4 linked regions of the Rattus norvegicus genome follow. The protein of the gene in region 1 purifies or fractionates together with the protein of each later gene. This does not show direct contact. Links are inferred from orthologs where the notes say so. Each region holds a gene or a part of one and is shown in the gene's direction. Other genes may lie near its edges.

The links.
Region 2: the proteins of Gdi1 (region 1) and Rab13 purify together in Homo sapiens (affinity purification with mass spectrometry; 4 studies listed by BioGRID and IntAct, counting the BioPlex papers as one, with this or other methods). This does not show direct contact. The link is inferred for Rattus norvegicus from reciprocal best matches to the Homo sapiens genes GDI1 and RAB13.
Region 3: the proteins of Gdi1 (region 1) and Rab35 purify together in Homo sapiens (affinity purification with mass spectrometry; 3 studies listed by BioGRID and IntAct, counting the BioPlex papers as one, with this or other methods). This does not show direct contact. The link is inferred for Rattus norvegicus from reciprocal best matches to the Homo sapiens genes GDI1 and RAB35.
Region 4: the proteins of Gdi1 (region 1) and Rab14 purify together in Homo sapiens (affinity purification with mass spectrometry; 3 studies listed by BioGRID and IntAct, counting the BioPlex papers as one, with this or other methods). This does not show direct contact. The link is inferred for Rattus norvegicus from reciprocal best matches to the Homo sapiens genes GDI1 and RAB14.

The regions. Positions count from the first base shown.
Region 1 is NC_086039.1:157,235,821-157,243,481, forward strand, and holds the start of Gdi1 (rab GDP dissociation inhibitor alpha), read left to right. Parts: upstream 1-3,079; 5' UTR 3,080-3,203; coding exon 3,204-3,248; intron 3,249-4,416; coding exon 4,417-4,524; intron 4,525-4,683; coding exon 4,684-4,783; intron 4,784-4,920; coding exon 4,921-5,055; intron 5,056-5,466; coding exon 5,467-5,665; intron 5,666-5,919; coding exon 5,920-6,051; intron 6,052-7,008; coding exon 7,009-7,108; intron 7,109-7,661. Other genes in the region: Atp6ap1 (V-type proton ATPase subunit S1 precursor), read left to right, coding at 119-357, 1,035-1,082, 1,171-1,399, 1,613-1,822. UniProt on the Homo sapiens protein: Regulates the GDP/GTP exchange reaction of most Rab proteins by inhibiting the dissociation of GDP from them, and the subsequent binding of GTP to them. Promotes the dissociation of GDP-bound Rab proteins from the membrane and inhibits their activation.
Region 2 is NC_086020.1:177,969,861-177,977,684, forward strand, and holds Rab13 (ras-related protein Rab-13), read left to right. Parts: upstream 1-3,109; 5' UTR 3,110-3,194; coding exon 3,195-3,318; intron 3,319-4,463; coding exon 4,464-4,524; intron 4,525-5,657; exon of another isoform or gene 5,658-5,756; coding exon 5,757-5,817; intron 5,818-6,033; coding exon 6,034-6,111; intron 6,112-6,557; coding exon 6,558-6,647; intron 6,648-6,701; exon of another isoform or gene 6,702-6,730; coding exon 6,731-6,796; intron 6,797-6,876; coding exon 6,877-6,930; intron 6,931-7,364; coding exon 7,365-7,442; 3' UTR 7,443-7,505; downstream 7,506-7,824.
Region 3 is NC_086030.1:46,637,230-46,644,856, reverse strand, and holds the start of Rab35 (ras-related protein Rab-35), read left to right. Parts: upstream 1-2,912; 5' UTR 2,913-3,016; coding exon 3,017-3,068; intron 3,069-7,627. UniProt on the Homo sapiens protein: The small GTPases Rab are key regulators of intracellular membrane trafficking, from the formation of transport vesicles to their fusion with membranes.
Region 4 is NC_086021.1:38,906,970-38,914,659, reverse strand, and holds the start of Rab14 (ras-related protein Rab-14), read left to right. Parts: upstream 1-2,975; 5' UTR 2,976-2,981; coding exon 2,982-3,033; intron 3,034-4,003; coding exon 4,004-4,057; intron 4,058-5,428; coding exon 5,429-5,606; intron 5,607-7,690.

The DNA.
Region 1 (7,661 bases):
CAGGGCTAGGGACTTTCAGATGGTATACAGGGTACCCAGTGTGGAAGGAATACCAATCCAGTGGATTAGGTTTTGTTTTTAGGGCTGTTGAGAGAAGGCTTGTTGAATGTTTCTGCAGGTGGCCCGTGATGTAGCCATGGTGGCTGGGGGTCTAGGTCGCCAGCTGCTTCAGACTCAGGTGGCATCACCTGCGATCCATCCTCCTGTGAGTTACAATGACACTGCCCCAAGGATCCTGTTTTGGGCACAAAACTTCTCTGTGGCATACAAAGACGAATGGAAAGACTTGACCTCCCTCACCTTTGGTGTGGAGAATCTTAACTTGACCGGCTCCTTCTGGAATGACTCCTTTGCCATGTAAGGGAAAAAAAGGTTATCCTGTCATATATGGTTTTCCTGCTACTGTGAGCCCAGTACAGGACAAGGATGTGGGATGGATGTGTGTGTGTGTGTGTGTGTGTGTGTAGGTATATAGGTATATATGTTTGGGGTGAGAAAGGTCTTTGTGTGGTGTGTTCACCAAGGAGATGGATATCACAGTATCCCAGGTGATGTTGCTGGGATGTTACTGGAGAGGGATCCTCTTAGGAGTTTGGCTTTCTCATGCTTTTATGTCTTGGTTGTTGGGTCCTGAACACCACACAATCCTTTGGGACCCTGGCCCTTCTTTGAACCCAACCCCTTGGACTGCATGTAGGCAAATACCAGACCAACTGTTAAAACCAGTTCTAGGTCTTCTACCCTTGAAATCTCAGCTGGCAGCTAAATGATCCCAAGAAGGAGGCCTACAGGACTCAGGAAAACCAGAGTAAGGAATCCTAAGCTGGAGATGTAAGACCTAATTGTGCTCCAGCTGCTCCTAATTTGGTTATGACTGGAGCCTTAGTTTTCCCATATGGTAAATGGGGACACTGTATTGACAGCTGGCTGGCTATAAGGATGGATCTAGGGTTGCTTAGGTTGGAGCCAACCTGATCAGGATCTTCTTAAGGTTCTTCTAGAGCCTGACAGTACTCCTGTGCCTTGTCCCATAGGCTTTCACTGACCTATGAACCACTCTTTGGTGCAACAGTGACATTCAAGTAAGTTCTGTTGGCTGAAGTTTGGCTGGGCTGGTATGTCTTCACTCTATTTTGTTCATCTGACATCTCTGCAACCCCCACCTCCCAGGTTCATTCTGGCTAGTCGCTTCTACCCAGTATCTGCCCGATATTGGTTTACCATGGAACGACTTGAAATCCACAGCAATGGCTCGGTTGCCCATTTCAATGTTTCCCAAGTCACAGGACCTAGTATCTATTCTTTCCACTGTGAGTACGTCAGCAGTCTGAGCAAGAAAGGCAGTCTCCTTGTGACCAACGTGCCCTCCCTCTGGCAGATGACTCTTCATAACTTCCAGGTATTGAAAGGGTGATGGGCCCCCAAGCTGGTGGCAATAAGGGGCGGGAAAAAGGGCCCAGAGAATCTCTGCATGGTTTGAGCATGTAGCCGAGAGAGTTCCATCCTTGTATAGTCTCTGAAGGTATAACTATTCATTAATTCCAGAATCCCAGCACTGAACTGTTTGTAGAACCTTGTGGTCCCATCTGATCCATGTCTATGTATCTCCTAGATCCAAGCCTTCAATGTGACTGGTGAACAGTTCTCCTATGCTAGCGACTGTGCTGGCTTCTTCTCTCCGGGCATCTGGATGGGGCTGCTCACCACCCTCTTCATGCTTTTCATATTCACCTATGGTCTGCACATGATACTCAGCCTAAAGACCATGGATCGCTTTGATGACCACAAGGGCCCCACCATCACTTTGACCCAGATTGTGTGACATATACCAGAGAGGGATTGAGGGAGTATTGGTGTCTAGGTTTCCATTTTGTGACACAGTGGATGGAAAGGTTTGTCCTCTTCCTACTATAGCATGAACCCTACATACACCACCCTCAGCCTGTCTTGCTTCCTCTTTCCTGGACAGGGACTTCCCTGAGGCTATCCCCCACTTCTACCAACAAAGTGTATTATTCTTCATAGATAAATCTTCCAGGCTTCATCAAGAGGGGAAGGGACCTTAATTCTAGGGTGCCCCCCTTTCCCTTTCTCCTTATTTATTCTTGCCCCTCTGCTATTATTTCGTGCTGTTTATAGTGCTTTTGTGTAGTAAATACTCACTCCCCAAGCTTTATGGAGCTTTCCAGCAATAGCCATGAACTTGAGGTCCCTTGAATTTGAGAGGTGTGGAAAGGCTAGTTAACTGTCCAGCTTAGCCTTTATGGGTTTTTTTTTTTTTTTGGCGGGTGGGGGTTAAGAATGAGCGGTACACTGGGGTTTATTTCTGTGACCTGAGAAGGAAGAAATCACCACGAGAACTGGAGAACAAAGTGTACTCATTGGGTTTCTGGTTTGTTCTCACAAGGATTGCCTGTCAAGAAGCCAGAAGTATGTGTGTGTGTGTGTGGGGGGGGTGTGCTCTGTTGTTTCATTCCTAATAAAATAAAGACGTGTTGCCATGTGTTGGGCTCCAGCCACTTATTTCTACACTGGACAAGTAGATTTGTTCTTGACTGAAGGGAAGAACTGCTCAGATGTAGTCCTGTCAGGCAAGAAATGAGAGAGGAAGGGTGGGAGGGTCTTCAGTAAGCCGATACTCTTAACAAGCCGGAGAAGAGGCTTGTTACTTTTCCTCGCCATGGGAGGAATCCTGACAATGGCAGCTCTCCCAGCGCTAGGGCCAGCTGCAACAACACACTGCAGGGCTTCCATGCCTTTCTGTTTCTCCCAGGGGCGGTACGGGAGCGCGCGGGGCGGGGCGGGGCGCGCGCAGCTCCCGCGCAAGGATCCTTCGCTAGACGTAGCACCTGCCGCCGGCCTGCCCCGCCCCGTATTTCTCTGGGCTCACGGAGAGCCGCGTTAACCCCTGCAATCATTCTGGTGCTGGGACCCAGGTGCCAGAACCCCTCCTAGAAAACAAGCGAGGAAATGGTGGCTTTGGTTGGGCGTGGCTTGGCCAGAGGAGGGAGAGGGACTCATTGACGCTGCGTAGGGATCGGGAGACGACCGATAGACGCCATCTTTGGGTCAGTGCGGCGGCAGCGGCAGCGGCAGCAGCAGCAGCAGCAGCAGCAACAGCAACAGTAGAGGCATTGGTAGCAGCTGCTGTGGTGAAGGAGGAGGAGGAGAAGAAGAGCGGGCGCTGGTACCAAGGCCTGACCATGGATGAGGAATACGATGTGATTGTGCTGGGGACAGGTCTTACCGTAAGTGCCACCTCAGGCGCTCGTAGCCCTGCATCATGCCATCCCCCACCCCGCAGTGATGCAGAGTCCGGGTTACCCGACCCATCCTCCCATCATTGCGTTCCTGCCTCCAGCCCTGGAAAAGCCCATGCCCACCCCACTACCTCATCCTAGAGTGTTGATGCCAGTTCGCAATTCTTCGTAGAGGGCCCCACTTTGGCCAGTATTCCAGCACCCTAGATCTTAACCACGGACCCCTCACCTTCCCTATCTGTGTCACTGAGGTGGAAAACTCACCCCCCTCACACACACTGGACCCGTTGCATCCAACCCCACCCTTCGCCTGCACTCATCACCTGCTCAAGTAATTGATTAGCATCTTTTACCATCTTGTGATCACACTAGGGCATGGAGTATGAAGATAAAGATATGGGGGCTTTTCAAGGGTGGGCCCTCATCCTGCCTCTCTGCCTTTTGGGAGGGATAGGGAACCCATGGAATGTTCCAGAAACAGCGGGAGGGAGGGAGGGAGGGAGTGTGTGTGTGTGTGTGTGTGTGTGTGTGTGTGTGTGTGTGGTGTGTAGGGAGGGGGTGTTAGTGACCGCTTTCCCTCTACCCCAATTCGGTTTCCCATGGAGACCTCAGAGTGAATATATATCCTCAGCCTTTGTCCTTGGGTTAGTGACAGTGACTGGTGAGAGTGTCCGGTGTCCCCGTCGCCCCCCCCCCCCCCCGCACAAATCTTTTTTCGTTTGAACCCTGAGCCTAGAGCAGTGGATGCACAGCCAGAAGAGAGTCAGGGGCTCCTGCCCTTAAAAGGAGGAGCAGGGTGGAGCCTGGGATTTCAAGGACTTGGCCTTATCTTTCAAAGAGCCTTTGAATTGTTTCTTCTGTAGACTCATTGTCTTGTCTTTTTGTGAGCTCAGAGCAGGTAGATACTTTTGGCTTGTTGATGCTAGAAGAACTGTAAGCTCTGTCCCCCAAGCCTCCTTTAATGCTCTAGTAGTTTACTCAGCAGGGTTATAAAGGAAACATCATATGAAGCTATCTTCCCCTCCCCAGTTTTAGGCACTGGAAAGAGGTAGGACTTTGCATTATGAATTTTGTAGTGGGCATGAGGCAGGGACAAATCAGAGATGCTCATTGGAGGGTAGATGAGGTATAGCTGCCAATGCCACTCTTTCCCCAGGAATGCATCCTGTCTGGCATCATGTCTGTGAATGGAAAGAAGGTGTTGCACATGGACCGAAACCCCTACTATGGGGGTGAGAGCTCTTCTATCACACCCCTTGAGGAGGTAAGATTTCTTATTCTCAGACTTGGGCTTAGACCCAGACCCCTTGTTAGTCCCCCACATAGGTGTAAAGGGGGGAAGTAGTTCTCAGGTCCCAGGCAGGAGAGTGGGGAAGGGAAGCTAGTCCTTGACATTTGTCTTTCTTTCCTGTCCTGCTTACAGCTATATAAGCGCTTTCAGTTGCTGGAAGGGCCCCCTGAATCAATGGGCCGGGGCCGAGACTGGAATGTTGACTTGATCCCCAAATTCCTCATGGCCAATGGTGAGGGAGATTAAAAAGGGCGATGGGGGTGGTGAGTAGGAAGATGGGGTATGGGGTGTTCAATCTCCAGAATATGATCAGTCACACTACTGAGAGTTTTTTGAAGGAAAACACACCCTTACTCCCTTTGGACACAGGTCAGCTGGTAAAGATGCTACTGTATACAGAAGTGACTCGTTATCTGGACTTCAAGGTGGTAGAGGGCAGCTTTGTATACAAAGGGGGCAAGATCTACAAAGTGCCATCTACTGAGACTGAGGCCTTGGCTTCTAGTGAGTATGAGTCTCCTTAAGCAGAAGAATGGGGCTGGAGGGGACAAACTGTTTTCAGGACAGTTGGGCAAAAGGCTCCTCTTTGCATAAACCTAATCTTAGCTCCGTGTAGTCCTAGAGGCCCCTTGCTTTATAGTTTCTTTATTGGACAGTGCTACCAATCTTGGCAAGTTGCCAGAAAGGAAGTTCACAGAAGAGGATTCTTTTTTGTCAAAGGGCCTACTTGCCCTAAGTGGAGCTGGGAGGGTCTCTTCCTACAAATAGGAAAATTGAGACCAAGAAAGGTGGAGCAGTGTTGCATAAGAGAGTTCTGGTGGGAGCCAAGGCACCAATTTTCCTGGCCTGCTCTGTTAGAAAGAGGAGCTCTATGTCCGAGTAATGCAAATGATCTTTTCAATACCTTTCTTTCAGATCTGATGGGCATGTTTGAAAAACGACGCTTCCGAAAATTTTTGGTGTTTGTGGCAAACTTTGATGAGAATGACCCCAAAACCTTTGAGGGTGTTGACCCGCAGACCACCAGCATGCGTGATGTCTACCGGAAGTTTGACCTGGGCCAAGATGTCATTGATTTCACTGGCCATGCCCTGGCGCTCTACCGCACTGATGAGTGAGGGGAAAGCTGGCTGGTGATGGGAGCCCCTTGTCTGGCTCACACCCTCTCCACACCTGCCTATTGTACCTACTGCCCATCCTGCATGTCACTTGTACTCAGCTCCAGGCTCACCTGTTCCATTTCCATCCCTCTCCATTTGACCCACATCTTTGCCAGGTCACAAAGGGTGGTGGGAAGGCTGGCTGGTGTCTTTGTAAATGAACAAGGGTGCTGCTATCAAAGCATATTCCCTGGTTCTTTTTCCGTAGTTACCTGGATCAGCCATGTCTTGAGACTATTAACCGCATCAAGTTGTACAGTGAGTCCCTGGCCCGGTATGGCAAGAGCCCATATTTGTACCCACTCTATGGCCTGGGTGAGCTGCCTCAGGGCTTTGCCAGGTGAGGATCTGTCTTTTTCAGCTAGCATTACTGGTAAGACAAGGCCAAGAATGGAAATTACCTTGAATATTTTTGTGGCATCTCCTACTTTCCCATCTAATTTTCATGTATATTACTGTATCCCTGGGTAATGGGGGCATAGCCCTAGTGCATTAAAGTGCAGAGTAGAGGTTGGAGAGATGGCTCAGCAGATAAGAGCACTTGTTTACACCAAGGACCCGGGTTCAATTCCAATACCAATATACATGGTAGTTCACAACCATCTATAATTCCAGTTTTAGGGAATTCATAACCTTCATCTGGCCTTCATAAGCACCAGGCATGCATGTGGTGTACAGATATACACGTAAACAAAACACACACATGTGTGTATGTGTGTGTGTGTATATATATATATAATTTTAAAAGTAGGTGGAAATACAAAGTAAAGAAGTAGGTCACCATGAACATAGCTTCCCCCAGCTCTTGGTAGTACCAGGACTAAGTCTAGGACCCCGGAACCTTGTGTCTGGGCTTCCCTGGAGTTTGAATCTCTTACAGAGAGTTCTTTATTCTTGACTCCTAGGCTGTTTCTTGGTTTGTTTTTGTTTTGTTTTGTTTTGTTTTTTTGTTTTTGTTTTTTTTTTCGGGGCTGGGGACCGAACCCAGGGCCTTGCGCTTCCTAGGCAAGCGCTCTACCACTGAGCCTAATCCCCAACCCCTCCTGGGCTGTTTCTATGTGGAGCTACTTCTTCATGCTACCTTCTGTTGACCCTTTGCAGAACAATATGTACAGAAACACCAGAGAGGAAGGAATATGTCAGTATGGGCCCTAAGTTTATGGGAGGGACACCTGAAACAGTTGGAGTTAAACTCTGTATACCTGTGTTCTCTACCCCACTGGTGGGGTGAGGAGGGTACAGTAGAATTGGTCCCCACATTTCTGAGAAGACTTCCCCATCATTTTTCTTACTACAGATTGAGTGCCATCTATGGGGGAACATACATGCTGAACAAACCAGTGGATGACATCATCATGGAAAATGGCAAGGTGGTGGGTGTAAAATCTGAGGGAGAGGTAAGCCTGCCCTGTGCATTTGTATTACCATGGTTTGGGTAAGATTTGGTCTTTTTCAGAGCTATGTTCTTAGGGAACCTTATTACTTCTTAACCCTGAGAACCTTATAGCTAAAGCCTGGGTGGTCAATAAAACTCTACATAGTTATTCCTGTTGGCAAGAAATATCCTTCAAACTACAAGGTGTAGTGGCACACAACTGTATTCCTAGTACTTGGGAGGCCAAGGCAGATGGATCTAAATTAATCAAGAGGTATCCTTCAGAAGTCACATACTTTGTATTCCTGAATGTATTCTTTTGGAAAGGGTGTCCTGTATCCCAGGCTGGCCTCAAATAGTGTATATAACTGAAGATGAACTTTCAATCCTTGTGCTTCCACCTTCTTGATGCCGAATTACAGGTGTGTGTCAAGATACCTGGTTTATGCATTGCTGGGAATCTAACCCGGGGCTTTATGCATGATAGGCAAGCACTCTACCAACTGAGATAGTATGCCTATCCCTCAACCCCCAACTATCCTTCAGCCTTGGGTGCTGAGTTTTGGGCCAAACAC
Region 2 (7,824 bases), on another chromosome or scaffold:
CTTATAGGTTACAGTCCATTATTGAGGGAGCTAAAGGCAAAAATTGAAGCAGAAGCCAAGGAGTACCACTGCCTTGCTCCAGGGCTCACATTCAGTTGCCTTCCTTATATAGCAGCCCCACCCATCCCGGTATGGATCCTCCTGCATATAGGGCTAGGCCCTATGACCTCAATTAGCAATCAGGAAAATGCCTGGGGCTGGAGAGAGATGGCTCTGAGATTAGCATCACTGGCTGCTCTTCAAGAGAACTAGGGGTTTGATTCCCAGCACCTATATAGTGGCTAACTACCATGAAGGCTCGTAACTGTAATCTGTAACTCCAGTTTCAGGAGATCCAATACCACCTTCTGATCTCCCTAGGATACCTGGCATATATACGCTACACATACAAGCATACAAGGACAGAATATCCACACACAAAGATAGATAAATCTACATAGAGATAGAGATCCTGTCTAAAATTTTAAAAATACTAAAAGAAATAAAACCAGAATCCCCCCATAGAATGCCTATATGCCTACAGGCCAATCCAATGGTGATAGTTCCTCAGGTTTCCTCCTCCCAGGTATGTCAAGTTGGCAACCAAGATTAGCAATCACAAGGTCTCCTGGCTGGCTTGCAACTCTCTACCAAGAGTAGGCTGACCTTAGACATGCTTCTGTCTAACCTTCATCTTGCTTCTGTCTCCCATGTGCTGGGACTGCAAATCCACCATACCTGGACTTCAGTGTGAGTTAAAGGACAGGATTAGTCAGTGAGGAAAATCAGGAAATATCCCTGTCTGTGCTACAGCTTGAAACGTAATGAGCCCTGAGGGAATAAGTGGAAGGGAATTCAAGCCCATAATGTAGCTCAGTAGAAAAGTACTTTGCCTAGCATGGGCAAAGCTCTGCGTTTGACCCGTCCCCAGCACCATTCAAAGAAAAATGGAGGGGTTGGGGATTTAGCTCAGTGGTAGAGCGCTTGCCTAGCAAGTGCAAGGCCCTGGGTTCGGTCCCCAGCTCCGGAAAAAAAAAAAAAAAGAATAAAAAAAAAAAGAAAAAGAAAAATGGAATAGTCAGATTGGGATATTGAAGTGGGCACAAGGGTACATGTGGATGGCAGTAGTTCTGGCTATTGAAGGGGCTCAGTCCAGATGATCATCCCACAAATTTGAGACTGATCTGGGCAACACAGAGAGACCTTCCCTCAAATAAATCGGGCTGGTGAGATGGCTCTGGGGAAGTTTGGTTCGACATCCTGCAGCATGTTCTCTGCTCCCCACTTTCACCATGGCATTTGTGTTAACATTTCATCTAGGCTTCGCCCCACAGTTACCTGGGAACAGCCAGGTGTGCCTACCCCCTCCTCATTCTATTGCTCTTACTCTCTCTCTCCTGCTTCCTTACCCTCTTCACCCTCTCTCCACGTGCTCCTCTCCTCTCCTCTCCTCGCCTTGCCTCGCCTCTCTCCTCCCCTCCCTCTCTTCCCTCAACTCCCCTCTATTCCCTGTAAACGCTATTCTATATACTTACTATACTGTGTGTGGCTGGTACAGGGGTGGGGTGGGGGATGCCTCAGCATGGGCCTGCAGACCTTACTGAACTTCCATGAAACATATCTCTGCTCTTTCTTTTTATAAAACACATTATGTGTGCCTACACATACAAGTAAATATAACGAATGAATAAACTAAATAGTTATTTGTGTGTGGTAGTCAATATGGATTGTCAACTTGACAGGATCTAACATCACCGAGGAATCCAATCCCTGGACATGTTCTAGATCGAGGAAAGTTCTAGCTTGGATTATGTGAGGTGGAAAACCCCCACCTGACAATGAGTGGCACCATTCACCGTCCTGAATAAAACAGAGAGAATGAGCTGGGCACCAGCATTCATCTCTCTCCTCCTGATTTCCGAGGAAAAGTGACTAGATACCTCACGTTCCTATTGTCATGTAGACTGTACCTTCTATGAGCCAGAGCAAGCGTCTGGTAAACTGTTTTTGTCAAGTAGTGGGGGGGGGGGGAAGGTAACTGATACATTGTTGATACATTGTGTTTGTATCAAAGGACAAAAGTAAACATAGATTATGGCAAACATAATGTAACAAATTAAGACACTTTCTCACAGTCAGTACTCAAATGTTAGGGACTTTTTCTTTGTTTTTTTTTTTTTTTTCTTTTTTTTGGAGCTGGGGACCGAACCCAGGGCCTTGCGCTTGCTAGGCAAGCGCTCTACCACTGAGCCAAATCCCCAACCCCTCTTTCTGTGTTTTTTTTCCCCTTTTTTAAAGGGACTGAAAAGATGACAAGCGCTAGCTGCTCTTGTAGAGGATCTGGGTTCAGTTTCCAGCAGCCATATGGCAGCACCTGTAGACTCTCAAACTCCATTCAGGGGCTCATTGCTTGCTCTCTTGTAGCCTCTGCAGACACACTAGTCATCTAGTGCATAAACACATGTAGGGAAAGCACTCCTGTATAAAGACAGAAAGCTGTGCCTGGGGGCCGGCCAGTAATCTGCACACTTGAGAGATTGAGGCAGTAGGATTACTTGACCTTGAAGGCCGGTTGCACTACTGAGTTCTAGGCTCGCTCCAGAAGGTGAACCGGCTACGTGTGCTTTGAGTGTAATTGATGGGGCTGATTTTTATCATTTCAGTTCTTCACTCTGCTCCACCAGGGGGCAGACGGATCCAGCATACTAACCTCCCAACCCGCTTCTTTTCAAAGGGAATTGGGATTTGTAAACTTAAGAAGCGCAGTGCTGACAGAAAGTTCTTAGGACCTTTATCATAAACTCAAAAGCTTATGAATAGCGCCTCAGCCCTTTATCAATTTCCAGTGCCACCCCTCTCTCCACCACTGGTAAATTTCTTTCCCTCTTTCCCTAATCTTTTTAAAATTCCTCTTTCTACTTCGGTAGAAAGAGAGGAAAGACAGCTAGCCAAAGGCAATGGGAAGGGCTAGGGAGACTGGCTCTTCGAGGCCGGGGAGGCAGCGCCCGGACTGCTAGAGCTGGACAGGCCTCTCCACTAGCGAAGAGGGGTGGAGCCCGGAGCAGGGCCGCCTCTCTTCTTTTCCCGGGGCCTGGGCGGAGAGGGAGGAAAACTTCCTGGCTGGGACTCTGGCGGTTTCTGCCTGCCAACCCTCCGATCCCGCCTACCAGCGTTGGCTCTTCCCGACCCCTCCCCCGGCGCCCCCAGTGTCCGCCATGGCCAAAGCCTACGACCACCTCTTCAAGTTGCTGCTGATCGGGGACTCGGGGGTGGGCAAGACTTGTCTCATCATTCGCTTTGCAGAGGACAACTTCAACAGCACTTACATCTCCACCATCGGTGAGCCCACAGTCTGTGTACCAGACCCCAGACCCACCCTCTGCCCACCCTCATACACGGGCTCCTGAAAGACTAAGGAACCTACTTTTTTGATCCCCTTAGAGAAAGACACTAATTTTCAGTCTGTCGACCCTGCCCCAGACCCATCCCCCATAATGTCCCTGAATAACACTCAAAACTTCAAGCCTTTCTGATGATTCCAGGTAGCCCCAGTTGCTGCCACCCACCCCATTTCTTGGTACTATCTCCCTAGTCTCTTTAAATCCTCATAGGTTATTTTCATTTCCATCTGCTTCCTTCTTCAATACATCTCTTCACCTAAACTCTCTAGATTCACTCTTCACAATTTCTCTTTTCCCTGCTTCCCAGTTCTGTTGGCTTTTTACTGACCCACTGGGCTCCAAACTTCCCCCAGCACGGGTTGGCTCTACCTTCAAATCATCCTTCTAGCCCCCTTACCTCAGCAAGGTACTGCAGAGTGGCTGACTGTGCTGCCGAGTGGGGAAAGTGGAAGGGAGGGGACTCTGGGGTCTCTGAGTAAGCTTTGGCACTCAGACACTTTTAGGAGTCCCCCAAGAGACCTGGGAGATGTGCCCAGACTTCCAGTAAGAAGAGTATCCTTTCCCCTTTTCCCTCCTCCCTTCCTCTCTTTATCTTTCTTCATTCCCTCTTGACTGGGAATCTCATCTCCCCTGGTGACAAAAGGGAAAGAATCAATCTCTCTCTCTCTCTCTCTCTCTCTCTCTCTCTCTCTCTCTCTCTCTCTCTCTCTTTTCCTGTGCCCACCTAGCTCACTAGTTAATTCACATAGACTCAGTCAGCTGCCTTTCTCATTCCTCACTACCCCCAAGGGTGAGCAGGGTGGGTGGTGGACCTGAGGTGTCTGTTGGGGGAGGGGGAAAGAAGAACGGAACAGTGTGGTAGAGATGGAGGGAAAAGTTGTCAGCTGGCATGCTTTTAGCCCGCCCGAAGAGTTTCACCACCTTTCTCCAAAACGTCATAAAGTCTGAGGAAAAACAGTATGCTTACCATTGGACTAAAGCTTTGGAAAGCTCTCCTATTCACACATCCAGCCCCCACTCTCTCCCCCCATCCCTTTCACACATTCACCCATGCTTCCCTGGCTTTCACACCCTTCACCCCAGGAATTGATTTCAAGATCCGAACTGTGGAAATAGAGGGGAAGAGAATCAAACTGCAAGTCTGGTAAGTAAGCTGCCCAGCTCTCCGGACCAGACTGACCTTTGAACCCACCCTCCCCCACTTGCAACCCCCCCCTTTCAGTTCTTCTATCTTACTTTTTCTCTTTTCAGTTTAGTTTTTGTTTTTTTGGGTTTTGTTTTGTTTTGTTTTTTAGACACAGTCTCATGCAGCCCAGGATGGCCTGGAACTCACTATGTAGCTGGTAGCTGAGAAAGAAAGACCTTTATTAGCTCCTGTCTCCTGTGTTACAGGCATGTGCAGGCATGTGGCACCATGTTGGTCTTTCTGTTTTGCTTTCTTCCCTTTTTTCCCCTGGTCCAGTACATCTCCTAATTCTTCCATTTCGCTTAGTCAGCTATCAGCTGGCCCTGCGTCTCTCTTCCTGGTGTCCCACTTTCAGTTCGTTTGTGTCTTTTCCTCACCCAGAGCATTCTCTGGACTTGAGAACAAATGTCTTTTGAGCCATGATGTAGAAACAGGTTCTAAGTGGTTAAAAGATAAGTGCAGAATTACAAATTTGACTCCCAATCTATTGCTCTCTAAACTTTTCAGAGCAACCTGGGTGTAAATGCTGGGACACACTTTGAGTCCCAGTACTCCAGGAGCAGAGGCAAGTGGATCTCTGTGAGTTTGAGGTCAGCCCGGTCTACAGGGTGAGTTCTAGAACAGCCAGGGCTATGTAGAGAGACTGTATTTTAAAAACCACACAGTAATTAATAACTGTAACCTGACTATCTGAAGGAGGCTGTAGACACTCCAGGCACAGGAGCACTATGAGGCTTTCCTGAAGCATTCTTGTATACCAGACAAGCAGCAGCAGATAGTGTCTAACCCTGGTTCTGCTACTTTACTTTTGCTTGACCTTCAGTAATGACCCAGCCTCCCTCCACAAGTTTGTTTCATTTATAAAATGGGGACAAGGAGCCATGCCTCACAATGATACAGTGAGAGTTAGATAGGATCACACACACACACACACACACACACACACACACACAAAGTGATACTTAAGACAGTGCTTGGCATCTGTGAGTAAACAGGAGACATCCTGTTTCCCAGGCCTGTAATGTCTGAATAGCAACCCAACTGTCCTTCTCCCTGTCCCCCTTACCGTTTCCTGAGTCTTTTCCTTTCAGCCCCCACCTCCAGTGTTTCAAAAGCTGAATTCTTAGGAAAAGACTTCTCCCTTGAAGACTTCTTGCTTCTATCTCACTCTATGAAAACTTCTGCCTCAGGGACACAGCTGGCCAAGAACGATTCAAGACAATAACCACCGCCTATTACCGTGGAGCCATGGTATGAAGGGTGGGTCTGGACATGGGTTACAGTCATAGTTTCATGAGCACAGAGGGGTATGAGCATGCAGGGGTAAAGAAGGAGGGCACGGTGCACATTACAGAGAGCCCCATGTAGCCTGTGACTAGACTTATGGACCTGACTTGGATGGTCACTTAGAGGACAACAAAAACCTAAGTGGGAATGTGGTCCAAGGTGAACTTTACCATCCCTTAGGGCATTATCCTAGTATATGACATCACAGATGAGAAATCCTTCGAGAATATTCAGAACTGGATGAAAAGCATCAAAGAGGTAAGATGCCTCCAAAGACACGGGGGAACAAAGAAACCCCTGAAGGGCGTGGGGGTTAGGATGGGCAGGCTTCCACTTTAATGTGTATGGGTGTTGTGCCTGCGTGTATACCTGTGAACCAAGAGTCTGGTGGTGCCCTTAGAAGTCAGAAGAAGTTGGTGGACTCCTGGGACTGGAGTGACAGATGGTTGTGAGCCACCAATTGAACCCAGGTCCTCTGGAAGACCAGCTAGTGCTCCTAACAGCTGAGCCCTCTCCTGCCCCAACCCTCCTTTGTTTTTGTTTTCCTCCTGAGACAGGGTCTCCCTCTGTAGTAGCCCCAGCTGGTGTGAAACTTAACGGGTAACCCAAACAGGTCTTGAGCTCACAGAACTCCTCCTGCCTCAGCTTTCTAAGTGCAGGACTTAGAGGAAAGACCCACCTTCTGCTTGTTTTGCTGTCTCCAGAACGCGTCTGCTGGAGTGGAGCGCCTTCTGCTGGGGAACAAATGTGACATGGAAGCCAAGCGGAAGGTGCAGAGAGAGCAGGCTGAGAGGGTGAGTCAGGCCGGGCTGCTGTGGCCGAATGCCTTGCTTCTGCCCTTTATCCAGCTCTCTCCTTCCTACCTCATCCCCTACAGTTGGCCCGAGAGCACAGAATCCGATTTTTTGAGACAAGTGCCAAATCCAGTGTGAATGTGGATGAGGTGAGAGTCACTCTCCAAGAGATAAAATACTAGTAGGTTTATCCCCTCCTTCAACCCCAGCTAACCAATTTCCCCTTTAGGCTTTCAGTTCCCTGGCCCGTGACATCTTGCTCAAGACAGGAGGCCGGAGATCGGTGAGTTGGTTCTACTTGGCTGAGTCCCACAGCGTGTGTCTTCAAGAACTGAAGTGACTGGAGAGTACTGTGGTACTGCTCTCCTATGGTCTCAGCACCAAGAGATGCTGGCAGAAGGATCAGGAGTTCAAGTTCATCCTCTGCTACTCTTTCTAAACTCAGAGTGCCTGTGGAGCACACCTTTAATGCCAGCACTAGGGAGGCAGAGGCAGGCTGATCTATGAGTTCAAGGCCAGCCTAGTCTACAGTATGAATTTCAGGACTGCCAGAGCTACACAGAAAAAACAGTCGAGGAGGAGGAACAAGGCCAAGATTAACCACAATGTGGAGGTGGACAGTGGGGGATGTGGGAGAGAGTGGGGGTGAGGGTGTCTATAGACTGATCCTCCTGCCAGCCCTTCACATACCTGATCTTTCCACCTTCCCAACTCTAGGGAAACAGCAGCAAGCCCTCAAGCACTGACCTGAAAGTATCTGACAAGAAGAACAGCAACAAGTGCTCCTTGGGCTGAGGAACATTTCTTGCCTCCTATTCACCCTGAACCTGGAGGCTAGACCTGAGGGAGGTGGACTGAGGTAGACTGATGGAAAACAGAGGGGAGGAGCTGTGGTGGTGCCTGGAGGGGTGGATGACAGGGGAGGAAGGAAAGATGAAATGGGCAGGGAAAGGAGGGCGAGGAACCAAGGACGTGAAAAGTGAAGAGAAGGGGTTTGAGAAGAGAAAAAGAAGAAGGTCTCAGGTCTCGGACCGTCCAACATTAATGTCAGTATGCTGATCTCTCCATTCCTGGTTCAGGGTTCGGGTCCCGAGAGGCTGGCTCGGCCCTACTCTGAGGGTCTCTCACTCCACAGATCTTTGTTAGTATTAAAGGCCACTGTTTGGCACGAATGTTC
Region 3 (7,627 bases), on another chromosome or scaffold:
GCATCGGATCTCTTTTTTTTTTTTTTTTTGGTTCTTTTTTTCGGAGCTGGGGACCGAACCCAGGGCCTTGCGCTTCCTAGGTAAGCGCTCTACCACGGAGCTAAATCCCCAGCCCCAGCATCGGATCTCTTTACAGATGGTTGTGAGCCACCATGTGGTTGCTGGGAATTGAACTCAGGACCTCTGGAAGAGTAGTCGGGTGCTCTTAACCGCTGAGCCATCTCTCCAGCCCCCGTTTGTCTGTTTTTGTATCAGCCCCATCCCTGGTCACCCGTTGATGTTCTGCAGCCGTATGCAGCGTGCTCCTGCCCTGAGTCTGCTACACAGCATCCCGTTACTGCTCTTCTGCTTGGGATCTCCCTAGTTTAGCTCTGAGGTAGGAAGGAAAAGCTGTACCTCAGGACGTGGGGACAAGGCCCCCATCTGCGGGCCATCCTGATCGGCCTGCGTCAGTTCATACTCGGCACACAGCACATGTGCTTTTTGGAAAGAGTTCTTCACTGACGGCTGCTGGGTGAACGTTAGATGGCGTTTTCACAGCATGTGCTGGGAGACTCATTTTGGGATTCCAGAAGCATACCCTGGCCTCAGGGAATTCCCCCTCCAAGCCAAAATTGAGGATTCTCACAGGGTGTGACAGCCGCTGTCTCTTTAGACAACCGACATTCCAAGCGCACCTCTCTTCTGGTGTCGCCATGAAATCTTCATGACGGGCTCTCCCCTTCCCTCTTGCCAACAGAGGCAGTCCGGGTCCTCTGAGGTCTAGGCAGGGTATCTGACAGTCATTCTCTCTGCTGTATTGCATCATGATTGTGTCTGAGCTCTGTTGAGTCTGTAAATTCTTGGAAGGAGAAAGTTCACTATCCTCTATGACACGGGGCATAGTAAATGGTAAGACACCATTAAATAGTTACAGAATAAAATGCCCAGTGGGTTTGGGGCAGAACTGGGAATCTCATCTTCCTAGGGCGGACTCTGCTTCGCTCCCTAGAGTGTCCCACAGCTGTGAATCCTGGAAGTCCCCTATAGGAAACGGCTCAGAGATGAACGAATCCTTGCACAAGGACTCACACTGGTCACTGTGACTGACCGCACACAACCTCACATTTACAGTATTCTGAAGAAACAGGCTCTGAGACTGCCTGAAAGCTTCTCAGGGGTGGATTTCATAGTTGCCCTTGAAAATGCCATCTCTTCAACCTTGGAGCAAACATGGAGATGACCTGACAGGATACTTCCTGGGCCAGGAAGACTTGGAGTGCTTATCTGACGTCTACCCTAACCTTAAGGCTTCTTGCTGTCTCCTCTAAAATGTTTTGAGGTTTTTATTTGATGTATGTGCATGTTAGTCTGAGTGTGTGTCTATATGCCACATGTCTGAAGTGTCGGCCAAGGCCGGAGGATGGCATCAGTTCTGAGACTGGAGTTACAGACTCTTGTCAGGCACCGTGTGGGGGCTGAGGGTTTAACCAGGTTCCTCTGGAGGATCAGCCAGTGCTCTTAACTGCTGGACCATCAAACTGCCAATCAAAGGAATGGCATGAACCTGCCCGACCCAGGAGTTTCCAATCTAGAACACAGGGTCTCTTTTCAGCCAGTACCTTAGGAATCTAGGCTCGTGTTTATGACATCACCAGGCAAAAAGAGCTCAAGGCCTACATCAGACACTCTGTGTGCTGTTCAAGGACTTTGCTTGCAATTCCCTGAATAACAAGAAAATTATGAACCGCATAAATCTACCAGAGCAGCAGAGTCGTGAAGGAATAATAGTACAACCATCAGCCGGAGCACCACGTGGTGAGGCGGTTAAATGATTGATGGCGGTGTGAACGCACGCACGAGGCACATGTGTGCTTAGATACTCCTAGAAGTTTATGGGAAAGCACGTATCCATTCAACTAGTAAGTGTTTCACGACTGTCCAAGAAACTTTAATGGGGTTACTACGGGGACTGGTTCTAGAGGAAAACTAATGTCAACTTTGAATTCTGTAACCATCTGTATTTTTTTGTTTGTTTGTTTTAAACACCAACACTGTTTCTTATGGGGAAGGATTAGGAAGCAGCAGTATCCCAACAGGTGCTTGACTGGAAAGCTCTGGAAGGTAGTAGGAAGTAGTGAGGAGGAGGCTGGGTGGGTGGAGCTCGGCTCGCAGGGAGCCTGCCTAGCATCTGCGAAACCCTGGGTTCGAGTCTCAGCACCACATAAAACGGGACTCAGGAGGTACAGGTAGGATCAGAAGTTTATGGTTATCTTCGGCTACTCGGAGAGTCAGGTGCCATCCTGGGCGACTTGAGAACTTGTCTGGAAAAAGCCAAAATCACAGGGATGGGGCAATCCCTGCAAACTTGCAGGGAGCGTGGCAGTGGCAGCGCACGGGGACCGGCAGGTGAGCTTCCGCTCGTACTGGGGCTGACTCCGCGCTGCGTACGGCGTAACGGCGCCCCGGGAAACTGAGGCAGAAGGAGAGGAGGCGCAGGCGACCAGGGTGCACCCCACGGATCCGAATCCGGAACCGCTACCCGTTCCGCCAGGAGGTCGGGCGCCTGGAGTCGTGGTGCTCGGAGGCGAGTTCCGCCCAGTGCTGACCTCCAGACCTCAGCCCCGCAGCCGGCCATCGTCTCTCTTCCATCAGGCCTGCTAAACGGCTCGGTTCTCCCGAGGGCCGTAGCGTCCGCACTCGCTCGCTCGTTCGGACCTCGTCCGGGGAGCGTGCGCACTGCGCGTGCGCGGAGAGGGCGCGGCCGACCGGGACTGCGGCTGCGCAGAGGCGGGTCCAGCCGCCGCGCCTGCGCAGTAGTGGGGCGGGGCGGGAAGGAGGGTGGCGGCGGCACCGGCGGCGGCTGCTGAGGAGGAGGAGGAGGAGGTGGGGGGAGCGGAGGGAGGTGTTTCTGTCAGTTCCGGCTGTTTGTTCGGGAAGTGGATCCGCCGCTGCCGGAGCAGCCGGGAGGGAGCTGCGGATCCCGAGGCCAGTACCGACCCCGCCCGCCCGCGCGCGCGCGCCGCCCCCGCCCGCCATGGCCCGGGACTACGACCACCTCTTCAAGCTGCTCATCATCGGCGACAGCGGTGAGGGCCGCAGGGGCCGGAGGCGGTGCGGGCCCTGCCGGGCGCGGCCCGCGGGGGCCTCGGGGCGGGCGGGCGGGCGGGCGAGGAGGCGCGGCCCGCGCGGGGCGGGAGGCGCGGAGCTGGGCGGCCGCAGGCCCCGGGGCCGCAGCGAGGGGCTCCGGGCTGCTCCTGGGCGGGTTGGGGCGCGGAGCGCGCGGGCTGCACGCCCCGGCGCTTGCTCCTGCCTCACGTGTGACCTTGGTCAAGTCGCGCGATCGCTGGAGTTGGAGAGACCCGGGTTCGAGTCCCGGGAAGGCAAGCTTTTTCACTCTGTGACCTTGGGCAAGTTGCGTCGCCTTTCTGAGCCTCAGTTCCTGCATCTGAGAAGTGGGGACTTGTTAAGCTGAGCGGTGTTGAGTATTCAGTGAGCTAAAGTAGGGAAAGTGCTTAGCGCCTGGCCCGGTGTAAAGTAACCTCCAAGTAACTAACTGTTGGTGTTGTCAGCGTGAGTCTCCCTGTGAAGACTCAGCCTTCTGTGAAATGGGTATTTCCAGGACTTGTCTCTCCGGGTTGCTGTGGACTTGGATGAGGTGCGGCAGGTACGGCCATAAGCACATTCCTGCAGAATCGTCACTAAGTCTCTGCATGGTTCAGTTCTCATCTGTAGAATGGAGTAGTAGATTTGCCTGACAGAGCTGATGTTAGCAGCCAGTGAGCACACACATCACTATGTGCTTGGCACACAGTGGGTGGACAGTGTTTGCTGTTATCTTACCTGGGTGCTTCATCCGATATTTTAAGTGCTTTGTGCGCGCGCGCGCGCGCACACACACACACACACACACACTCTGTCTCTCTCTGTCTCTCTGTCTCTCTCTGTCTCTCTGTCTCTCTCTGTCTCTCTCTCTCTCTCTCTGTCTCTCTCTCAGTACTGATCCATCTCTGATTTGTAGAGCAGTTTCTGGTACCCAGTGCTTAAGTGCATTTGGTCAGTCACACTGGTTTCTGGCCAAGGATGAAGCATTTTAGAGGTGTTTGGAGTGTGGCAGGTGACCAGGTCTGTGAGGTGACGGTGAGTTCAGAGAGGCCAGCCCAGGATGTTTGTGGGCGCTTAGCTGAGGTGCCAGGATGATGTGATATTTGGAAGGAGGCTGGGGAGCAGCTAAGTTTATAGATTAGACTTGAGTGTGGGTCATGGGACTTGAGACAGCCAACTTGGTGATAATGCCTGTGGATTGTTAAGGAAATAGAGCAGTGAGTCCCCTGAGACTCAGGATGTAGGCTTGTTGGGTGACACTGTCATAGATAGGTCATGGAAGTAAGTGGTGAGTGGATTTTGGTCTCATGGGAGAAGCTGGGTTGGGATGTGGCTCGTGGTTTGGTTCTGGTGGGAGATGGCTGAAGTCTCAGGGGTTGCTGGGGGGTGGAGGGGAGGTGTCCTGGAAGGGGAAGGCCTCACTGAGGAGGTAGAATAGTAGCTACGGCTGGGAGTGGAGTTGAAACAGTGGAAGACTGACCCGTTGTGGTTTGAATGAAAGGAAACCAGGCAAGCCATGTAGATTTGAACTTGGACCCAGCTAATGGGGTTTCTCTGGGCTCTGAGGATTTGCTGACATTACGGTGATCTCTCTCCTTTCGGAGCTAAAGTCAGCCCGCTGTGGTCAGAGGTCTTTATCCCTCCCCAAGACACGGCCAGTTTTAATATCCAAAACTCGAAAGGCTAAACTCAGCAGGAAGTTGTAGCTTGCTGGCTTTCTCTCTTTTGTTCAACCCAGGGCCTGCTTTCTTATGGTGCACCTTGCAGGGCTAGTGATGGTTTCTGCTCAGAAGTCGGGTGTGGGAGAGGACTCAGTGGTCAGTGTCTGTAAGGTCTGGCTCCAAGGGTCAGCGTGAGCATGTAGGCCTGGGTTACAGAGAAGAGGGGGACACTGTGCTGTTGGATTTCTCCTGCCACTGAGCTTACACATGAAGCTGAGCATTTAGGAACCCGGAGATGGTAGCCAGGGGAGCAGGGAGCGGGATGTCACTGCCCGGCTGGCTGCCTTGGCCCCTTGAGTGTGCTTCTGAAGGTGTGTCAACTGATTCTCAGACACTGTTATCTGATTCTCACCCCTGGTCTCTGTGGTTTGTCAGATAAGGAAACCAAGGCTCAGAGGAGAAGCCTTGTCTGCCCAGAGTCACACAGCCCCTGCAGCTGTGCACATGTGTGCTAACCCCAAGAGCAGGCCGTGTTGGGCTGCAGGCACTGGGCCTCACTGGACCCTGGCGGCTCTCCGTCTCACTCACTCAGCCACATTGTACACACTTCTGGAATGTGTTCCCTGGGCATGGGCATCTTTCTTTATCCTCTCAGCTGCCCCGCATTGGCTTTTGGTTTGTACCCACGGATGCCAGTTACCCTCATTCTCACAGCCTGAGGCTGGTGTGCCTTTAGACTAGGTAAAATCCCTCTCTTAACCCATGAGTAGACGGGAGCTGGGAGGTGGGCGTGGTCTGTCTGCAGGTACACGAGAATGTGGCCACTGAGGCAGAATTAAAGTTGATATTACTTTACTTGAGTTTATAGCAGGCTGGCTAGATCTGTTGCCTCAGAGGAAAGCAGTGGGGCAGAGCTGCGGAAGGTCCAAAGCAGCACGCGGGGTGTGTGTGTGTGTCTGTCTCTTTGTGTGTGTGTGTGTGTGTGTGTGTGTGTGTGTGTGTGTGTGTGTGTGTGTGTTGATGGTAAGCGGTGGCATCCCTTCCTGCCAAGAGGCATCAAGTCCCTGGGGCCTGTGTCCTTGCAGGATAGCAGACCTTAGAGCTCGGTGGCTAGAAGAAAGTGTTGCTGTGCTGGAGATCGGCCCTGGGCCCATCTGTAGGGTCGACAGCAGCTGGAATATTTGGGAGGTGGCAGGTCTTGGTTTCTGTTCCTCTCAGGAAGAACAGAGTTGGAGGTTTGTATCAAGTCCATGGCGGCAGACCATGTTGTGACTAGTGGTTTTTCTGCAGCCAAGGATTTCAAGTCCTTGCTGTCACTGCAGATGGTACCTCTCTCTCCCCTGTCTACTACAGATACGGGAGATTTGGATAATTGATGATGGTGGTGATGGTGGTGGTGATGATGGTGGTGGTGATATTGTTAGTGATGGTGGTGGCAGTGGTGATGGTGGTGGTGATGATGATGGTGGTGGTGGTGGTGATGGTGGTGGTGATGGTGGTAGTGGTGATGGTGGTGGTGATGGTGGTAGTGGTGATGGTGGTAGTGGTGATGGTGGTGGTAGTGGTGATGGTGGTGGTAGTGATGATGGTGGTGGTGATAGTGGTGATGGGTGGTGATGGTGGTGGTGATGGTTGATAGTGATGGTGATGATGATGGTGGCGGTGATGGTGGTGATGATGATGGTGGTAGTGGTGGTGGTGGAGGTGGTGGTGGTGGAGGTGGTGGCAGCGGCAGCGGCCAGATGTGGTATTGCGCATATTAAATCCCAGCACAAGCAAGTGGCTTTGAGAGTCTGAAGCCAGTTTGGTCTACATTGAGAGTTCCAGGCCAGCCAAACCCTGTCTAAGTTGGGGAAAGGATTCTGCTGTCCTGAAGTTTGAGAGCTGCTTCATTGGTGACGCTGCTGTAGTAACATGGCATAGCATGGCTGTCACTGAGACTGTCGGCCTGTGGAGAGGGGTTTAGTTGGTAGCTATTAAGTGCTGGGCTCAGCTCATGGCTCTGAATGAATGCATAGGGTGAGGGAAGGGAGGTCTCGGACCTACAGCACTCACTCATTGCTCAGTGGCTAGAATGAGCTTTTAGCTGAGTAAGCTGGACTTAGAAGGCTCCAGGAGGAAGCAGAGGCACCACAGGGCCCATGGAGTGTCAGTATCAGGCAGAACACGGTGTGGATCAGTGCAGGAGCCTGGCTGTCTTTGGGCTTAGCAGGAAGCCTCATGGCGGAACAATGAGGAAGTGGTACGAAGCAAGCGCTGTAAGCAGAGGGCTGAGCTACAGGTGCTCGGCAGCAGGGCGTCCTCCCCAGGGCCTCCTTGGGAAGTAGGGCTCAGCTGTACCCGTTCTTCACGGTCGGGTTAGAAACACAACTGTACAGCCCAGTGTGCAGGAGTGGTTTGCAGCCTCCGCTACTTGAGGGCCAGGGGTGGAACAGCCATCTTTGAGAACTGGAGTCAGGCTCTGGGTTTCTCTCATAATAGGCACGTATGCTTAAGTTTTGATTTGAGTGACAGCGTTTATGGGGTCCTCGGGTGACTTGGTACCTTTGAAGGCATTTCCGTTGGACATAGAGTGGAAGAAATGTGGACAGGAGCCATGGGACAGGTCACTTTTGCTCCTGTGCATAGGAGGTTACATGGCTTTTGGCTGCTTTGTTTTAAGTCATGCTTCATTGCTGGATACATTGTGTTTGTTCTTGTGTAGCAGTTTCACAGACGTGAGGATATTAGGTCACAGAGTCTGGGGTTTTTAAAGTTTTCTCGGTATTGCAAAATTACTTTTCAAAGAAACTGAAGTCATTTGCATTTCTACTCAAGGGGCTGCAAGTGTCCCCATTAAAGGCTAGGATTGTAGTTCAGTTGGTAGTGTTAGCTTCATAAGC
Region 4 (7,690 bases), on another chromosome or scaffold:
CAATTGAGGTACATCCCCAGCACTGTCTGCCTGCTTATGCTTTTAGGGTTTTTATTTGTAATTATAAAAGAAACTTGAACCAAAAAATTATTGTGGTTAAGTAAAAACAAAGCATCAGTGTTCATCCTGAAATAGTGATTATTTAGAAAACTACTGTATTAATGCTTATTATTTTAAAAAATGTCAGAATTCATCATTTTAGTTGACATTTAGAGGATGCTGTGTGTCACAACTAGCATGTACACAGCTCAAGTAGAATTGAATTATAATTTCACAATTACTCCTAGAACACTTGAAGTTTATTGACTTTGGAACTGTTTAAAGGCCATAATTTTTGGGTGTTGTGTGTTGAGGCTTGAAGCCAGGGCCTTGTACATGCTAAGCATGTATTCAACACTAAAATACACCACAAAGCCCTGTAATTACTTGTTTGTCACCTGCCTGCCCATCCGTCTGTCCACCGGTCCATCCATCCATCCATCCATCCATCCATCCATCCATCCATCCATCCATCTGTCCATCACAAGGTCTCTCTTGCTGTCCTGGAACTCACTATACAGGAGTAGGCTGACCTCAAACTCCCAGAGATCTGCCTGAGTATGCCTCCTTAGTGCTGGATTTTAACATAATAAAATAGGAAACAAAGTATATACAAAAAATTTTAGTCAAAAGATGGGAAGAAAATAGGAAAATCAAGGGGAAGAGTGCAAGAAAACTAGTTTACAAATGACTACTTTGGAAAGGAGTTAGGAGTTAGAAACTAATTTGAGGAAAAGAATGTACTGTTTCCATACAGAAGAGAAATTAATGTATTAGGAATTTAATCTTAAAAGTTAGTTAAACAATTAGATCAAGTTTAACCTTGAGGCCAAGTTGTTGTGGGTTTGCTTGCTTGTTGCTTGGGACAGGGTTTTTTTTTCTCTGTGTAGCCCTGGCTGCCCTGGAACTCACTCTGTAAACCAGACTGGCCTTAAACCCAGAGGTCCACCTGCCTCTGTCTCCTCAGAGTGCTGAGATTAAAGGCGTGTGCCACTTCACTGCCTAGCTTAAGGCCAAGTTTGAGTGCCAGTGGTAGCTGAAAAAGAGGTAAGAGAAGAGTTACCAAGTCTAGGATATCAGCTGATCCAACTAGAAAAACTCCTCCTGAAAGAACTGGTTAAGGGAGTTTTCTGCAATGTTGGAGGACTGATTATAAATGTGTCACAACATGCTGGGTACATTGGGAGCAAGGCATAGACTTGTATTGATTGTTGTCTGTACAGCAAAGTAAGGTGACTGCAATTATGTGATGTGCTCTTTAGTTTTCTGTATTAAAGGATTTTTTTTCTTTGATTTTTTTTTATTGCAGATGTTCTTCCTATAGATTCAGTTTTATTATGTTGACATTTTATTTGAAATATAGCATAAGTTATCACAAAATATTCATTAAAACCCTAGAAAGCACACATTTTTGGACAGTTAATAAGTCTTGGTATGTATGATTTTTGTCTTTCCTTAGTTGAAAACTAGTGAAAAATAAATTCATTAGATGATAGCGGTATTAGGATATGTCTCTCTAGAACCTAGCACAGTGTTAGATACATCGAGACACAGCTACTCTTAATTATTTAATTATGCAATTATTGGTAAGTTTATTCAACATGTATGCTTGTCCTCCAGAGAAAGCTAGCACATGAAACATTTATACAGCATGTGGCTTGCTTGGGAAGATTGTTGTTGTTGAGACATAGGTCTCTGTTTTGTCCAGACTGACCTCAAAATCCTGGGTTAAAACAGTTCTTCAGTCTCCAGAGTATGAGACAGGACTAACGTATGTGTCATTGTGCTTGTGAAATTGGAAGCTTAGGAAAGAAATTGGGATTTTTCTTTTTTTTTTTTTTTTTTTTTTTTAGATCCAATTGGTAAGATATAATTGCCCACTTAAACATACAAAGCCCGGTACCAGCCATCCCTTGAGAACATTAATAACAACCTGTAACACAGAGCAGAATCTTAACATCACCTGCCATCTTGTCCTGCCACGGCTTCTCCCGGGATTTTTCTTAGGTTAAACCTACCTACAGCAGTAGGCTGTGATCCTTGGAAGCATCTTGATAGTAAGCTTTTGGATTTCATAAGTGTGAGTACAGCTTTATAGCATTTTTTTCTCCTAGAATAGTGTATAGAACTCAATTCATGTGCTTTTAATGTATTAAGTTGAGTCATACGAAATTGCTAATTATGTTCTTTTTTAAAAAATCTATAGGAACAACAATTTTGTGTGATAAAATCTAATTTTGATGTCAATTTGATTTGGATACATGATTGTTCTAGACGTTAGATTCTTTGCTAAGTGTTGATTTAAACTAGAAGAGAAAGTTATATTTATGTTAGTGATTACTTTGATATCACAACTTACTGATCAGTTAACAAGGAAAAGAACCTTAAAGGGAGAAGGAGCTATCTAATGATGTTTGACTTAAATTTATAAAAATTTTCTTCTTTGAAAGATTTCCAGAATAACTTTTTGTTGATATTACTCCTTTTTTCGTATATTTCCTCGAGTAAAAATTTGGAGTGTTTTGAAACAATTTTTTCATATTTTTGTGGATCACTTGAGAATATTAAAGTAACATTCAAGAGAGTTGTGAGGGTTGGGGATTTAGCTCAGTGGTAGAGCACTTGCCTAGCAAGCGCAAGGCCCTGGGTTCGGTCCCCAGCTCCAAAAAAAAGAAAAACAACAACAACAAAAAAACAAAAAAAAAAAACCAAAAAAAAAAGAGAGTTTGTGATCAGGTTGGGAATTTTACTGACTTAGATCAAAATTTTGTTTGTATAGTCAGTGTGTTTTCGTAATATGTATGATATTTTTAAATGATGTGTATGTATTTGTGTGTGTGTGTGTGTGTGTGTATGTGTTTGGAAAGGGCGGCAGTCATAGGTTTCTATAACTTGTGAACGTTTGCTGAATTAACATAGTTTTCTTTGTTTTCAGTGCCACCATGGCAACTGCACCGTACAACTACTCTTACATCTTTAAGTATATTATTATTGGTAAGTTTACTTAACGTGTATGCTTGTCCTCCAAAGAAAGCTAACACATGGAACATTTATACATCAGTACCTGAACATACTACTGCAGACGTGCATGCTTTTGATGACTTCAGAACTAAAGCTTTTTGATGAAGACACACATGCCTTTTCCATCATGGCCCCGGGTAGTGAAATGATGGTGGTTGTTCTTCAGGGCCACCTGCGAACATGTTAGTGTTGGGGTTATAAAATTAATTTCCTGCTTGTGCTGAAATATCCCAATGTCCTAAAAGTTTCAGGTCCTCTTGAATTCCAAAATAGAGAGAGAGCACCGATTCAGAATTGGTCGTGAAACACACACACACACACACACACACACACACACACACACACACACAGAGTTTTGTTTCTTTTTAAATGTCAAGACCTTGCTCAGATTGTCTTAATGCATTTATCCATGAGTGGTTGTAAATAACTGGAAAAGCCCAGATGGTAGGCTGAGTTGCAGACCAGTAGAAAAGCTCTTACAAGCTTATCCTGGCTGTGGACTTGTGTTTGATCTCCACAATGGAAAATAAAACACAACCTGTAAATAAGAAAAGACAAGAAAGGCCATGTCAAGTTTGTATAGCTTTGTGAGATGGCATCTACTGTAATGTAGAGATAAAACGAGACATAGTGAGCCAAGCTTCCAATTTTTAATTTGTTATTTATTTCCGTTTGCTTTTGTGATAGTTCGTTTGGATAGGCCAATGAATGCACTTGGGCTACCCATTTGGAAACAGTTCAGATTACAAGTACTATTCACCTTGTTGGTTGTTTACTAGTCTATCCTGCTAAAGTTAGAAGTGCTCAGTTTGCCTTTTGAGGAGGAAGATGCAGGGGCTGCAGTGTGATGTGCATGATGTTCTGTTACGCAGCAGTTATTGCATACAGTGATGCTGTGCATGAAGGCTGAGAAGTATAACTGCCGTCTGCTTTCTTTACACAGGGGATATGGGAGTAGGAAAATCTTGCTTGCTTCATCAATTTACAGAAAAAAAGTGTAAGTTCAATATGAAAGGTAAAAAAGACAAGTAGCTTACTTTATCCTCATGTTCTCTACGTTTTAAAAAGCACTATTTTTAGTGTATTTTATGCATCCGATTATAACCTGTCTCCATATTTACACTTGGGTTTTTAAAGTGCCATGATTATTTTTCTACAGTTTGTTTTAAAAGATTTATTTTTAAGTATGTGTGTTTATGTGTGTGCTTGTAGGATTATGTACATGTGAGTGCAAGGGCCTTAGAGGCCAGAAACAACAGATCCCCAGGAATTGGAGTGACTTACAGGTAGTTGTGAGCCATCTTGATGTGCTGCTGGGAACCAAACTCGAGAAGTCTGTAGGATCAGTATACACTTTTAACTGTGGAATCATTTCTCTAGACCCATGATTTTCTAATAGGTGCAGATAAAATACAGTATTATTGCCAATTAAATTGTCTTTTAAAAAAATTCATGATGTATGGTTATATTCATGTTGGTTATACTTATTTACTTATATATAAATAAAGACAGGGTCTCACTGTGTAGCTGTGGCTGACCTGGACTTGACTGTGTAGACTGAGTTGTCCTCAAACCCAAGGACATCTATCTCCTGAATGCTGGGATTAAAGGTGTGCCCCATCATGGCAGCTTGTTTGGATTTATTTATTTTGTTTTTTTGAGACAGGATTTCTCTGTGTAGTCCTGACTGTTCTGGTACTCACTGAGATCCACCTGCCTCTGCCTCCAAAGTGCTGGGGTTAAACATTGTGAGCCACCACTACATAGTACGAATTAATTTTTAAAAGTGTAAAATGTTAAATTTAACCCTATCTTTTCTTTTACTTTAAATGTATTTTTTTATCAACTTGTTTGTGTGTGTGTGTGTGTGTGTGTGTGTGTGTGTGTGTCTGTGTGTCTGTGTGTGTGTGCATGATCATGCATGTTGGTATATATGAATGTGTATGTTACATGTGGCTAGTACACACAGAGGCCAGAAGAGTGTGTTGGATTCCCTGGAGCTTAAAGTTATAGGCAGTTGGGAATTGTTCAGTGTAGGTGGTACAGGAAACTACACTCTGGTCCTCTGGAAGGACAGCAAATAATGTTCTTCACGACTGTGACATCTCTCAAGCTTCCCACCCCCAAAATCTTAGACACTTTTTCTGTATGTATCATTTTTTCACTATAATCAATTTTGAAATAATTAATAGAATTTTTTCTGTCTTTATCACTGGCTAAAGTTTAGAATACAATTCCTATTGAGGGTGGTGGAGAAAAAGGTCAGTATGTTGTAACTGATAAGCAAAATACAACTGAGAACATGGCATTTTTGTGCTGTGTTCCACACAAGTTTTCTGAAATTTGGCTATTTTCTTTTCTCCAACAGTTATGGCTGATTGTCCTCACACAATTGGTGTTGAATTTGGTACAAGAATAATTGAAGTTAGTGGCCAAAAAATCAAACTGCAGATTTGGGATACAGCAGGACAGGAGAGGTTCAGAGCTGTTACACGGAGCTACTATAGAGGAGCTGCAGGTGCGCTCATGGTGTATGACATCACCAGGTAAGATGACATCCTGCTTTGAAGTAAACCACTACTTTGGGCAGTATGGTTTCTTTTTTATTGATTTGGGTCTCCTTTAGTTTGTAATTGGATATCCGTAAATTAATTTATTTGGGGTTTTATGACTTCTGCTCTAAAGCTTGAAAAACTTTTTAACATGCTGATCTTCTCTAGAAGTTGGTGAAAGAAAGACCATGGGATAATGGGGCCTAAAAGAAGAACACAGACTGCAGAGTTAGCTGTCTGAAGAGAGGCGGCTTTATATGAAACTTACACTTCAGGAAGGCAAGCTAGTGCTAAGGAATTCTATTCGGTGTGTGTTAAAATCAACACCTCTGTGAATAGGAGCAGTGAGGCATGAGACACTTAGTAGACTGGTTCATTTTGGTGTTGGAGTATAATGAATGTTTGAATATTACTCATTTACTTAAATTCACTTTTCTACCACGAATTGAAGTGACTTAAAACCCTACATCAAGATTCAATTCATGACAACATGGTGTTTTCTAGAAACTCAGAGCATTTGATATGAGGTCACAAAACAGGAATATAAAGGTTTGACTTTGGAGCATGTAGCCAAACTGCCCCTTACTAGACCTGAACAGGTCTTTCTCTGCTGTGAGATAAAAATGAACTGGTCGCCTCTCATCATGATGCAGAGTCAGCCAAAGCACTCCTAAGAAGAGCTCCTCCCTCCTGAGGGGACAGAGACAGTGAGTGGGACCAAGTGAGAGCTGGAGACTGAGAAAAAGCTTTGTGCTGGCTCATTTTGAAGAGTCAGAGAGGCTGAGCATAAGAAGCCTGAGCTGTGCACAGGGAAGGAGCCCCTTGCTGTGTGACTCCTCTCACTCTGACACACTCTTGAAAATGCCGCGTTAGAATATTTATAGGGACTGATAGAATTATATACATAAAGCCTCGGTAGATTTTCAGCAAATAGTAAGGTAAGTTTTAATTTTCTTCATTGTATGGGCAGTTGGTACATGATCAGTAGATGGTCTTGTGGGGAGATTATAAACCTGGCTGTGGTACAGAACTGCCTCATTATGAGTTATTACTGCATTCCTGATGACTTAATTAAAGGTCCCGTCCATTACCAATACTCTGAAATATGATGTGTGCTTAACATGCAGTTTATTTTGCTTTTAAATATATATTTTAAGTATAGTAATATTGTGGTAAAATTTATGTGTATTCAAGTGATCAAAAGCACTTCATATGGAAACAGCAGAAATGTCCATCAGCTAAAGGAATGGATACACATCAATCAGGTGGCATATCCACACAGTGAACTGTTTTTGAGCTGTAAAAAGGATGACTGATACATATCAGATGTAAGTTAAAAGGCCACAGGTGATTCTCTATACTGACCTAGAATAGGCAGGAAGATCGCAAGGGCATGGCAGCACAGACTCTCTCTTCTGAGGGTCCTGTGAATGGTCTAGAATTTGATTGTAGTGATGCTAAAAGTAAATTATATTTTTAAAGGGCTTATGGTGATTGATTATATTTCAATATTTACTGAAAAAAGTACTTTGGATGTTAGGTTCTCGGTGACTTTAGATAATTCATGGTCTCAGGTTGCTGGAAGAGTGATGATACTTTTCTACCAATTATTTCTATCAATCCTTAACATTTTGCAACTTAAAAGTTCCCGCTTTGATAATAGTTTTTATCTTTGGTGTCAGCTATAACTGTTACAAGGCACTTTCCTGAGCTGACACTGAAGCTTGTTATGTCAGTAGTTTTGCCACAGTCAGAATGCAGTGAGTACGCTTGTAAACGTAGTGTGAAGTCAGGAAGTAGAAAGCTGAGCCATCCTAGCGTGGAACCTGTCTGCGTGTGGATGTGTTGTGTTAGGGTAAGTTAGATTAGTGCAGATGACATCATGCTTTTTAAATTTGCTCAGATAAAGTAAACATATACCACAGTCTGAATCTCCAGGTGCTTTAACCACCTTGCAAGTAAGAGCTGCAAGATAACAGCTTTCTTTCTGGTAGCTGAGGTCTTGAATTTCTAGATGAATGCATTAAATGCCCTTTTTAAAGGCAGTTTTTAATCTCTGTATTAACTCAGTCCAGAGT